Saccharomyces cerevisiae S288C: one gene and its partner. The protein of the gene in region 2 interacts with the protein of the main gene of each other region in a pairwise test. Each region holds a gene or a part of one and is shown on either strand. Other genes may lie near its edges.

Region 1 (6,383 bases), on a different chromosome or scaffold from region 2:
CCCCTAGTCGATGACCACCGGATAAATGCGTCGAATGTGCGCGCTATTAGTTTGCGCTCTTTTGAGATACCGCCAAGCCATTGATTGAATGACCCAAGGACGGATTTGTTCAACACTCCAAAGCGGCTTATGTTGTGGCAACAACTCTGGGGAAAGTCAGCGCAATGTTTTCCCCTAAGGATTCGCGCGAGCCGTGTGTAACAAAGTTCCGCCGGTATAGCATATCTAAACCACAGAAGGACGCTTATACGGCCGTCTTCCACAGTAATTAGAAGGACATTAGTCGGAGTGTAAATAAGACGGTTGCATACGCGTATGAACATGGGCCATTCATTTTACGGAAATGGCAACACATTTTCTTGTTTTTAATGTAAATAGTACGGAGTTCCTTTTTGGTGCGCTGAATGTATGCCGTAGTTTGGTTTCTTGCCAGGCGTGAGAAGAGAGGTCACACATGCTGTTGGGGTTCATGATTTTCAGCCTTCGCTCTGCTAAGTAAAAGGTCCATTGATCCGAAGCGCTTCCTCCAATATCGCAGTGATAAACGGTCATGTAAGCCTACAGTCTTTAAACTGTAGATGATTTAATGGATTATCTCATACATTGAATATCACACTTCAGCAGTTCAAGTTTTCATTAACATTGGTCTTCTCCAGCTTACTCTGTAAAGTCCGCTGCAGTTTTCTAGAAATCATAATCTGTACCTCCATTCAGCCATCTGAGGAACCTCCGAAATAACGAGTAAATGTTCAAACATGCCATGCGCCTTGGTTTATTGTACGAGTTTTAGCATATTGCAAAAAAAAACTGCTCCTGAGTACACTTGTTTTACGTCGGAAAGATAAATGCCGTACCATTTCTGCCAGTAGCGACACCACACATTGTAAAAACAATGTGGGGCGAGCCGGGACTCGAACCCGGGACCTCCCGCACCCTAAGCGAGAATCATACCTCTAGACCACACGCCCTCCTTTGAAAAATCCCGGCAGAACAGCGCCTGAAGTCTGGGATACAGCCCTATTTTCCCTGCCATCGTCATTGACCTTTTTCTTAACGACCAGATTAACAGCCAGTTATTGAAAGTTTGCGAACGTGAAGTAAAACTGCAAAATGGTCGTTTTAAGTCAAAAGTAACCCTGCGTCACACATGAGAAACATTATCGCTAAGTTGTTGTTACTACTTCTTGTAATTAACTTACTGTCGCATTCCAAATGGACTGCGAAACAGACACGAAACAATTACGAAAGTGACGACAGAGTAAATATTGTCATTAAAGAGAATGATGACCTCCGGGTAAACTGTGAGAATAAGTCTAGACCATTCGTTAAACTTCATCTTTAATTGAGAAGCATAGTAAAAAATAATTAACAAGTTAACACAACTATCTTGACCCATGCTACCAAGGACATAAGTAATATCCTCCACCACTTTTACTCAAAGTATATCTCATTCTGAGAAATGGGTGAATGTTGAGATAATTGTTGGGATTCCATTGTTGATAAAGGCTATAATATTAGGTATACAGAATATACTAGAAGTTCTCCTCGAGGGTCTAGGAATCCCCATAATGGAATCTATATTTCTATATACCAATATTACGATTATTCCTCATTCCGTTTTATATGTTTCATTATCCTATTACATTATCAATCCTTACACTTCAGCTTCCTCTAACTTCGATGACAGCTTCTCATAACTTATGTCATCATCTTAACACCGTATATGATAATATATTGATAATATAACTATTAGTTGATAGACGATAGTGGATTTTTATTCCAACACATTCGAGCTAGTATAAAATTGTGAGGAATTATCGGGCATCTTGTTTATTAGGTACGCAAATTGTAATAATTGCCAAGTTGTGCTTTTTAGTTGAGAAGTATTCCGTCCTCATGAAATGGCTAATATAAGTATGGATTTCATAAATATTATCCAAAGTAATTATACACACTTGTTTTTTGCTATGTCTTGGGTTTAAGAGAAAATGCTACATAGACCGTAAGAACGTCTTCAAGAATGCAAGGATGCTGCAAGCGAAGTTGTTCCCGTTATGAAGCAGAAAGGGCACATCAACATGGTTCAAAGATTTAAATTTCGGCACTTGTTCTTGTTCACTATATGTTTTAAGATTCTTATCGTGCAAGTATTCAATTATATCCTCTAAGTGACCGAACAATCAACACATCAAGATTTTTGTAGTTTTGAAGTTCCACAACCTACAGGTTAGTGCTATTTGGTCTAATTTATACATGGGAACTATGTGAAACAGTAATGTTAGCACAATGGACCTCTCAAAGCCTAAGAAAATTTTGCTGGGGACAAAAAGTGGTTCTTGATGGTAAAGAAGTAGTTTAGCTTCATAATAATTTCTTTGTAAAATTTTTCTCGTAGCACACTAAGCTTTCAGAAATCAAATAAGGCAGAGGAAGTGGTTTTGTCGTATTCAATGACTAATTGTAAGACTCGAGTATAACTTATGCAGTTTCCAAGAAGTAAGCAAACAGTTTCTCTCAACCTTTGGTGACACACTATGCGCATGCAAGTCGTAATGCTTCTCTATTTATGTGTGGGTTTATTAAAATAGTTAGAATTATCTAGGTTTGTGGGAATTTGGCCATGAATATTGAATAGTAACAAGAACAAAGCGTGAAAATGTTGAATATAATGAAAGCTGAAGACATCAAATCATGTTCTCCAAATCTTTCTGTCTCGTATATTTTCTTTGATATTTGTTTTATGCGGAAATTGCAGTGGAAACAATCGCGAAACATTCGAGAAAGAAACTAGGTAGCTACAAAAGTATGGAAAAAAGGGTAATAAGCATTCCTTTTTTTTTAGCCGCAAAGCCTGCTTAACCATACATGAAGCACTTTAACATATAGATGCTGCTCTTCACTGTTACATTATATACAGAAAAAAGTGCTCGCAATAAGAAACAAACCTTCAGAAAAAGAAGCTTATCTTGAGCACAAGTCATTCACAGCAAAATTTCTTTTTTCAGTTGCTACATGTTAATTATGGAGTCCTGAGAGTAAGTAACTAGCCATTAGAATTAATTTCCTTCCCTTAAAAATGATAGGGAATGCACGACAATACGTTAATGTGCACCCAACTTGCACCACAGCATATTCTATCCTTTAGTTTGTACAATATTATTAGCTGTGAGAAAGCCCCTTCGTGTGGCACAAATTTATTAATCTCTGTCAAAATACTTCTACTTGTTTATACTGTATAAACGATTAAGTTCCATTATGAATTGTGAATTTAGAATCGGTTTGGTACATCGCTCAGTATAAGTGCTAAATAAAATTATCAAGATTTATATTTCATGGTATATCGGCGTCAGGATATTGCTTTCTCCAATATTCCTGTTGTGCTTGTTTCTCAACTTCTACTGCTTTAACAAAGTATGCTTCGAATATTGGGTCAGAACTGAAACTAAAGCATTTTATTACCTCATTTGAAGCCTCATTTGCTGGTGCATCTATCTGCGTACTTGTGGCGTCCTTTACCGATGAATTTACATTCACACCTGGGGGTTTTTCTTTCACAAGAAATCTGAAGAATTTGTAGCATCTTTCACTACTATAAAAGTAATAGCGAGTACTCCATAAACCATTATCAAGTAAATATTGATTCATATTGTCTGTGATTGCTCTCCATTCTTTTCCCTTTACCGCTGGCCTGTGGGTGATAACTTCCAGCAAAAGCTTAATTCTGAAACCCTCATCCGAGATATACACATTAAACGGAATCAACGTAGACAAAAACAAAATAGAAGTGACGAAAATTGAAAAACCAAAAACGACATCACAAGCTTTAACATTATGAAAGATCACAACTATTAAAATTGAAACTGAAAGTGCCAAGAAGGAAAATATCATCGGTTTGTAATGAGCCATCTCGTACAGCAAGTAGGTCATATATGATTTAAAGGTGTCTTCAGGTAAAGTGATATTTTCTGCGGATGATAACACATTTTGTTCCCCTAATGTATCCAATTTGACATCGTCATTATTACTGTTGTTGTCTAAATGAGGCTGCATGCAGATACGGAGTTTTGTTTCTTGTCTTGATATGGTATAGACAACCGACTGGTGTATATAAACAGAACACAGACTTACATTTTCAGGTTCGAAGTTTTATTGAAGTTCATAAACTCTTTTTAAATTATTTTGTAAACTTGAGCTATTCAAGCAGTATTCTTATTTAACCTAAGCATAGCCCCGGATACAAGGCGTATAATACCCAACTAACTTAAAATGAGAGCCACTTACTGAACACCTTGGAAGGTCATTGTTTGGTTGAAAGGAATATTATTAACTAAGCCTTAGAACAAGGCGTCACCTAAATGATAATGGCTTTTCTTCTGGGCGCGGTCGGGGCTTCGACTCATTTGATACTAGGTTAATTACCCTTTTACGCATACCTAAATATTTGTAACTTTAGATCTGTCCACTAAAAGCGTTTCGATGACTTAGTTGTGCTACTAATAGTAAACTCTTTGTGCAGGCAAATTATATCATCGCTGGCTAGACTTTTTGTCAAAAGTTCTGTTTATACAGTGGGCAGCTAGAGTGCTTAATAACAAAGATATTGTCCTTTAGACTTACACAAGAGCAGAAGCAAAGATAAGCACTGTTTGTTCTGCTTCCATCGTTTTTGCTGAAAATTTTGCATGCATATCCAACCAATATTTAACACCTGGATTATCTCGGTTCAAAGACTACAATAAACGCCCCAATAATTGTGATGCTTTTTTCAATCCAGCCCGCACAAATGAATACCGCTGCTATTGGATGCCATCTTCAGATGTACGTCCAAACTGTGGTTGGTATAGTTTTTAGAACCTCGTGGTGAGGAGTGTTCCATTCTTTCAAAGGCAATGAGAAAAAAAAACAGTTGCGATATTAGTCAACTGTTTTGCATGGTTTCTTTGACGCAGTTGTAAAATCATACTCGAAGGGTAGTTGGAAAATTTTCAACATATATTAGTAATACTTTTTCTGTAAAAGTGACACAAGATAAAATGACTCCATGGCCAAGTTGGTTAAGGCGTGCGACTGTTAATCGCAAGATCGTGAGTTCAACCCTCACTGGGGTCGTTAATTTTTCTTTTCTTTTTTTTTTTTTATCTCCGACGGAGAAAAAATTTTTTCTCAACCCCCGGCATGGCGAATGGAAAAATCACCTGGCACGTCATTTCATCAAATCAACATCGGCCTCCCCGTGCTAATATGTTAACAGGCCGAGCTCTTGCCATCTCACGCATTTTCCGCTATACAAATAGTATATATAATATTACAGCTTTTAAAGAGGGAAGAGGAAACGGAGAAGAAAATATACTACTTTATAGAGATATTCGGCAATTTTTTTTAGCAAAAGTTTATTAAACCCTAATATAGACCTTTACTTGGAGTTTCGATTTTAAGAATTTTTTATCATTTTTTTTTTTTGACGATTTCCTGTCGGTTTCGTTATAACCTGTTGTGTTGTTGTTGTTGTTGTTATTGCTGGGTTGTTGTTATTCACTTTAACATTATCGAATAAAATTTGGACTTTCAAAGTCCTGTTCAATAAGTTGTACTAAGCCTTTAAGCGTTTTTAAGTTACAAATAAAAACTGGAAAGCTTAAGGTAGCTTTCTAATATTAGGCTCTCAACCTTTTTTTACTCTCCATTTACCGCTAGATATTAACTAGTAGTAAGTATTGTGACTACTATTCCCTGTAATCAAAAAAAAAGTAATCAGATTTTATTTTATTTCGACATTACCCCTCAAATATATGACTGGTATGAATGATAATAATGCCGCTATTCCTCAGCAAACTCCAAGGAAACATGCGCTATCTTCTAAAGTTATGCAACTTTTTAGAAGCGGTTCAAGATCATCTAGGCAGGGAAAGGCCTCATCGAATATCCAGCCACCTTCTAATATAAACACAAACGTTCCATCGGCGTCTAAATCAGCCAAATTTGGTTTACATACCCCAACCACTGCTACTCCTAGGGTAGTTTCTAATCCTTCTAATACTGCAGGTGTGAGTAAACCGGGCATGTATATGCCCGAATATTACCAGTCGGCATCACCATCGCACTCTAGTTCATCCGCATCATTAAACAACCATATTGATATTAACACCTCTAAGTCATCATCAGCTGCTTCTTTAACTTCGTCAGTATCAGCTTTATCCTTATCACCCACATCAGCCATAAATATTAGCTCCAAAAGTTTGAGCCCAAAGTTCTCTCATCATAGTAACAGCAATACTGCTATTACACCCGCGCCTACTCCCACTGCTTCAAATATTAATAATGTAAATAAGATAACCAATACAAGTGCACCTATTTGTGGGAGGTTTCTTGTGCATAAAGATGGT
Region 2 (7,444 bases):
GAAGCGATATCTCAATTAGATAATTAAGATCCATTTTTTTTTGAGGGAGGTTTACTCATCTTCTTGAAACTAGTGCATGAGTATAGTAAAATTAGTGTTTCTACTGGGGGCTACTTAAAAAAAAGTTACATACATTATAAGAAAATCTTTTTGTGTTAGTCTATTTAATAGTAATTCTCGTAATCAAATCTATCGGGCATAATCGCTGGGGCTACCACTGTCCAACCGTAAAGGGCATAACATATCCATGCACTAACTATTTTTACCCAAGAATAAAAATATGTTCTTCCTACGGGTATAAAATCACCTACATCATCCTGGGTAACGTTTATTGTTAGTAAAATTGCAATCCACTGGGTTGCCAGAAAGAATATAACGTGGAACAGAGTGTAATTGTACTTGGTTCCAGTCCTTTCATCATCATTTTGGTTATCCATTGCGCCTGTAGGAGATGATGTCCCTAACCAAGCGGTATCATATAAGGCACTTTCCGGTAAAGATCCTTCTTCTACAGCTTGTTTAATAGCTTCATACCTCAACTGATTTCTTGTCTGTCCACCTAGTCCTTCGTACTCGATATCATTCCCGAGATATATAGCACCATTAGTATTGGTGCCTTGAAAAGCACTATTAGCAGCGGCTCTAGTTGTGGTGTAAGCAATCGCAATAAAAGTAAATAAAGAGCCCAAAATGATACTAAACTTACGGGTTCCACTAGATCTAACCAACGGATTACACATTTTGTCATCCGGTTCGGAAGACATGGCACTCATTGTCAAATAAGTACAGTAAACAGAAACCATACTACTTTGGGCCAGCCCACTTTTAGGGTTGGCCTCTTGGATCTTAGGATTCACCGATAAGACAAGCGTTATAACAGTTAATATTAAATTGACTGTTACCGCTGTTTGATTCATGTTACATTGTTGATGACAAAACATAACATACATAACAACAGTCATGATAATCGATGCGGTATACATTGAAGTTGTCCCTAAAACCAAAAATCGTTGCCAGAATGAGGAATCTTCATCTTCTGACTCAACGTGACTAATACACGTTTCAGCCCACTCATGAGCGAAGTCTACTAATAATATAAGCCCAACCAGGATGAAAATTGCTCCACTAGGGACTGACACCCACTTGGAAAAGAAAATATAAAAGTCATTGGGGATGACAAATGACAAAACAATGAGACATAAATACAGTATAAATTTTAAACTCCACCACGAATTCTGTAATGCTGCTCTTACGTCATTAGTCGACTTTACGCCCGTTAGTACAAGCGCCAATATCAAATGTAAGCATCCCAATGCAAAATTCAACCTATGAACTGTAAAAAATCCACATTCCCCAGTCCCAGTACATGTCTTCCCTGGCCATAGGATTGATTTGTTCGCAGAATAGGACACCCATGATATCAATGAGTTAAGTAAAAGCCAAACGGCGTACAGAAGTCTTGTCCCTAAAGAAGAAGATCCTAGGGAAGATGCAGTCTTAGTCACCAAGTTTGAGCAGCAACCTCCAAAACAGGACGCCACGAATGAGCCCGCCATGCTAACTGGCAAAGAAATTACGGCACCCATGGTAGATTGTTGTACTTTGTGATGGGTATTTTGATATGAAGTAAATCTGTTGTTTGATTATAAACTTCGTTTTGGGGGCATAAAGACCTCAAAAACAGTTCTCTTTTTTGTTAGAATCTAATTGTCGGAACTTCTATTGTAGCCGAGAGACATAAACAAAAGAGGTACAAATACTACAATATTCGACACTGTGAAATGATAAAAAAAATCTACCCAGGAAACCCTATGAGGAAATGTCGAATACTATTGTGATAGTCTATTTGGGAGCTAACAGAATCGAAATTGGAAGAAGTGCTGATGCGTGTCCACAAGAAATTATCGCCTGGAAAACAGGTAGTATTAATGAAAAAAATAGGGAAGAATTGAAAAAAATATTTGAACATTACTTCCAAATTTGCAACATCTTGGGAAATCGAGAAGTACAAGTGTTGATACTAGAAGATATCTTCATTTCTGTAGTAGAGAAAAGAATTATTTGTAGCATCTTGTTTAAGGAATTTGACTGCGCTCACGTTTCGTTTGTCCCCAGGGCCATTGTGCACTGCTTATCCTGTAATACAAGGAATGCCATAGTTATAGATATAGGTACCAATTATACTACATGCGTACCTATTTTCGACCTTAGACCTTTGCAACAGTTCATAAAATACTCAAAACGAGGCAAAAGACAGGTTGAGTCAAGAATTCCTCTCCCGGGCAGTCTCTACATGCCAATATTTTTTGACGAAGAATACAACTCTAAAAATTGTGAAGTAGATGAAACCCCGGTAATAAATCTTGTCAAAAATATTGTAGAGTCACTTCCTATCGACTTGAGAAGGCCACTGAGAGAAAATATCATTATAGTAAACATTGAAGAGGCGTATGAAACAGTAATAAGGAATTTATTCAAGTTAAAAATGGATACGTCCAAAATCCAGTTTCCTAAAAATTACTGGCAGGCTGGTTCTGCATGCGCGAAAATACTTCTGCACTATAAGGGGAGCAACATTGTAGGAATAGAAAGAGATGAGTTTTATAACAATCCTCATATTGCTCCTGATTGGTTTGATTATTACTTCAGAACTGGAGTGAAGCGCTTACAATAGGCTTTATGTATATGTAGAAAACAAAAACAGGAAGTGTTCTCTTCACCAAACTGCGTCTTTCCACAACAATTAGCCTTATTGAGCTTTTGATGTAAAAGTTTATGATAGTAAAGAGCTATTTTTAACAATAGAGGAGAAAAAATAAAAATGGTCTCTAGCGGGATCGAACCGCTGATCCCCGCGTTATTAGCACGGTGCCTTAACCAACTGGGCCAAGAGACCAATTTGGATCGAAAGTGTTGTATCTCAAAATGAGATATGTCAGTATGACAATACGTCATCCTAAACGTTCATAAAACACATATGAAACAACCTTATAACAAAACGAACAACATGAGATAAAACACGGCCTTCCCTAGCTGAACTACCCAAACGTATAAATGCTTGAACAATTAGTTTAGATCCGAGATTCCGCGCTTCCACCACTTAGTATGATTCATATTTTATATAATATATAAGATAAGTAACATTCCGTGAATTAATCTGATAAACTGTTTTGACAACTGGTTACTTCCCTAAGACTGTTTATATTAGGATTGTCAAGACACTCCGGTATTACTCGAGCCCGTAATACAACAGAAAGTTAACCATTAATATTTCACCTAATTACACACTCTCCTAAAGAATTTGGATTTGATAACTATCATGTCATTTGAAAGAGTAACTCGTTTTCAGATTTATTATTGCCGGAATAAAAATAAATAAATATATCGAATAATATTCTTTATTATTAATGTCGAATGAGTTGTTAGAAGACTTCATAACAATTATCGGATTTAATGGAAGCTGAAGTGCAAGAATTGATAATTTAATAAGATAATGAATTTAATATAAAATATAAACGGAGAGAGAATAATGTTGTTATATAGAATTGTTGATTCCCTTTTGCGGATTTCTTATATCCTCGAGGAAAACTTCTAATATATATCCAATATAATCGTTTCCAAATTGTGAAAGAAAAAAAAATCTTCAATACAGTGTATTAGTGCTACATAAAAACGCGTTAAAACTTGCATTCCAATTTATCAAAAAGTTTGCCAGGACATATAGGATATAAATGCATTGCGAAGTAAAACACTTCTCAAAAAATTAAAAAAAAAAAAAAAAATAAAACTAACGTATTCACTTCTTTTACTTTAGTGGAGAGAATAACGAAATCACTCAACTTTAATGGCAGAGTATATCTTCCTAATAAAAAACATACTACTAAAAAAACCAATCGCTCCAGTGACGACACAACATAATGCAGATATAATAAGTGAATATCCGAGATAGAGCACGACAGTAATAACTCCACCAAGCTTGAACTTAGTAAATAGTATGGAGTGGATGAACGTATAGATTGAACATCCTAAACCACCAATAATAAAACTTCTCCATTGCCATAGCCAGTTTTCTAGACATAACGAGTAATATGTGATCAAGATGGTAACTAATGAGGTTGTCAAGGTCAACAATAAGAATGAAAAGAGTAAAAATCCAAACATATAAAAAATTTTGTTGAACCATAAACTGGAGTAAATGAAGTACAGCTCAACCGCTATTGATCCGAAACTGAAAATTCCAGCGATTAAGGTTGCTTGTGCTGTTCTCAAGTACCAGGGTTGATATGGAATCTGTCTGGCGATTTGGTTTGTTTTAGTTGGATGCTCATCCCAATTACACTGCTTATGAGCAACAATTGAACCCGCAAACGACAACGGAACAGAAACTAAAAACCATAGAAGAATGATAAAGAATAGGCTTCTCGCTGGGATGACACCTGAAGAATGTGCAAATAACAAAAAGAAGTTCATTATTACAATCAGTAAAAAAATTGCTCCAGGAAGTAATATTGGCGTTAATATCATATTCGCCTTCCAATAGGGTCCACGAAAAAATTTGTAGACACCCATTGAGGCGTAGGATCCTACAAATCCAAATAATGCATAAAGAACAAACATTACAGTTGGCAGGGATCCTCTGGAAACAGGCGACACAAGACCTACTGCGGCAAAAAAAATGCTACACATGACCATCAAAAATAACTGCATACCGGATCCCACAAGAATGGATAGCAGCATCGACTTAGATGGGGTTCTAAATACGTCACCATGGCCCAATTTCCAGCCAGAATCTTCATGGAATTCATTATCCAAGTTTAGTTCGTTATAACGAGCGAGATCGCTTTTCAAAGCCCGTAATAGAGAATGCATTACAACAGATGACAACAAAATAACAATAACGGAAAAATTTATTAATGAAAACCATTGTATCTGCGGGTCATAAATATGTAGATACTTATCCCATCTCGTAGCCCACACTGTATCAGAGGCAACAAATTTAACAGAATAAGTGAAGTAAACCTCGTTATCCTTATCCTCGTCTAGTATCAGAGGTTTTCCCGTTGTAGAACACGCGCCAGGTGACGATCTTTCGATAGATACAGGGTTTACAATGACACCAACAACTCGGTAATTATCGTTTCCACGATCGTGAAATTCCACTTCAATGTCAAAATGATTTACAAAGTAAGGTAATTCTACCGTTTTAACTAAATTAGGCTTAACATTCTTGGGCAGTCGAGCATCCAATATAACATCCTCATTTGAGGCCTCTGAAGTAAGCTCTTCCATCGTACTGGGAACTGCTTTACCGTCAACGGTTTGCTTAACATCTGTAAAACCTAACTCAAATCCTGTGCCGTAATAGTTTGTTTTTGTTCTGCTATCATAAGCCTTTCTTGCTGCTGGCAATCCATCCACGAGCCAGTTTTGGAAAAATCCACTTTTAATAAGGGTGTTGATAAATTTGGCATCTTTTCCCGGAATCGTGCTTTTACAAAGTGCAACACACTCTTTCTCCTCTAACATGTTCAATTGGAATGGGGAATTGTAAATTCTGTCACCAAATATGACTGAACCTAACGACTCAGGCTGTTTCTCAACGTGCTCTGGTCTACAAAAATGAAACCTCTTATTATAGTAATCATAGGAGTAAAGAAAATGTTCTTTATCGCCTGAAACATCGTTACCTTCCTCATCTTGATGCTGAAAGTAAATTGATGGAGTCAAGCGGTTCACCAATAGCGGGATTTCATCGCCTGAGTGATATGTTGTGGGAGATAGGCCTGGCAAGGAAAATCCTTTAGTTAAAGTTGCATAGCAATAAATCAGCAACCAAACACCTCGTTTCATTACCGATTATTAATTATCAATATGTGTACTAATATAATTGTCAAAATTTATGATGTAAATTTAGGGTTCCCAACATATTTTACTCAACTGTAAACAAGTCATAATTTCCTCGGACAAAATTAGGCAAAATAACAGAAAAACCAATGGATGGGATGGGTAGGAAAATGAGTAAGTAACCCAAACAAACGGTACCTCTTTATTCAGTCGGCTTTACAGATACTGAGGTAACTTATAATGGTTTTTTCTTATGAGCACTATATGAATCTCCTTTTCCATTTGGATAACAGTAAAGAAACGGTGCCTCCAGAGATTGCAAAAAGAATAATTTCAAATGCTATAGCTCCTGTAATAACAGTTACTTCAACTCCTCTCTTCGACAAACATATTCAAGAAACGTACAAAGTAGATTCTCTCTATATGCTGCTGCGATTCTTTGGCGGTTGTGTCTCTGATAGAGATCAAGCCAATGAAGCGAAGGTTGGACAGCATGAGCATGAGGTTTGTGATGCAAGTGACTCGACGGATTCAATTCCCAAAAATAAAAATTTGGAAGTGCCCAATTTATCAAAGAAAGGTAGTCGCAGTAGGTCGAATAGTCTTTTCCAGAGGGATTCAACGCAATCTCAATATATCAGGTTTACAAGGCCATTAGGTGACTTGATCGAAACAAGAGATGCAAATGATATGTTATTCAATTACCATTCTTTAGAGGTATTCTTAGATAATTATTTGAAATTGGTTGCAGCAAATACTGATGAAATGGTTCCTCATAATCTTCTTAAGAAATCCATTTATCATAGTTTCTTTTCACTAGCAATTTCATCCACAAATAACTTATCGCCCTATGAAACTTTTAATCACCCTATTCTTTCCTTGATTGCTTTAGATATATCAAATGGCGAAGTTTATGAGGATGCAAGAGATCTTTTAGTCAATTTCAAGAATCTTAATCATAATACTGAAAACTTTCCTATCTTCATGAATACAAATGAAATGCTTCCAGTTTTCTTACTCTGCTACAATGACGATTCCCAAGAAGAATTCGAAAAATGCCAGGCGTTAGCTAAGAAACTAAAGAAGCAGTTGTTTGTTGAGAGTATCTTACTAGCACTCTGGAAGGATTCTTTTATTTACGACGAAAATTCAGTCATACAGTTACACCAACCAGTAATGTCATCGCTTGAAGAAATTCTCTTCTTCCTTCAAGCTCCAACTCAAACAACACTCTCTCTGGCTTTGATAAACTCGATCTATGATATGCTTGATTATTTGGTTTATGATTTAATGATACCATTCATGAAAAGAAAAGTGTCATTCTGGGAAGAGACAATTTTACAGCCAAGAAAGTCGCTATTTAATGGTGCAAAGTTTTTCAAAAAATTTATGAATAAAAATCCTGTCAATGGTAATCACCAACATAATTCTCTAACGAGAGACAGCCAGGGAAATGAATACTTCGCATCGTCATCTTCTGAGTTTTTGATGAGAAAGTTAGCAGATTGGTCTATGATGCTATCCGACTTCAAAACTGCTTATTCCACATACGAATCGCTTATGGATGACCTAGATGCATTTCCAAAGTACCTGGCATCAT

Evidence for each region.
Region 1: the proteins of TMN2 (region 2) and DFP3 interact in a protein complementation assay, tested with the Saccharomyces cerevisiae proteins (one large-scale study listed by BioGRID).

The regions. Positions count from the first base shown.
Region 1 is NC_001135.5:122,681-129,063, forward strand, and holds DFP3 (DUP240 family protein), read right to left. Parts: upstream 4,051-6,383; coding exon 3,331-4,050; downstream 1-3,330. Other genes in the region: YCR006C (uncharacterized protein), read right to left, coding at 1-323; serine/threonine protein kinase SAT4, read left to right, coding at 5,790-6,383.
Region 2 is NC_001136.10:665,185-672,628, forward strand, and holds TMN2 (Tmn2p), read right to left. Parts: upstream 5,851-7,444; coding exon 3,832-5,850; downstream 1-3,831. Other genes in the region: TMS1 (Tms1p), read right to left, coding at 165-1,586; ARP10 (Arp10p), read left to right, coding at 1,820-2,674; TRS85 (Trs85p), read left to right, coding at 6,085-7,444. UniProt on the Saccharomyces cerevisiae protein: With EMP70 and TMN3, plays a critical role in the late stages of a nutrient-controlled pathway notably regulating FLO11 gene expression. Acts downstream of RAS2 and TOR. Essential for cell adhesion and filamentous growth.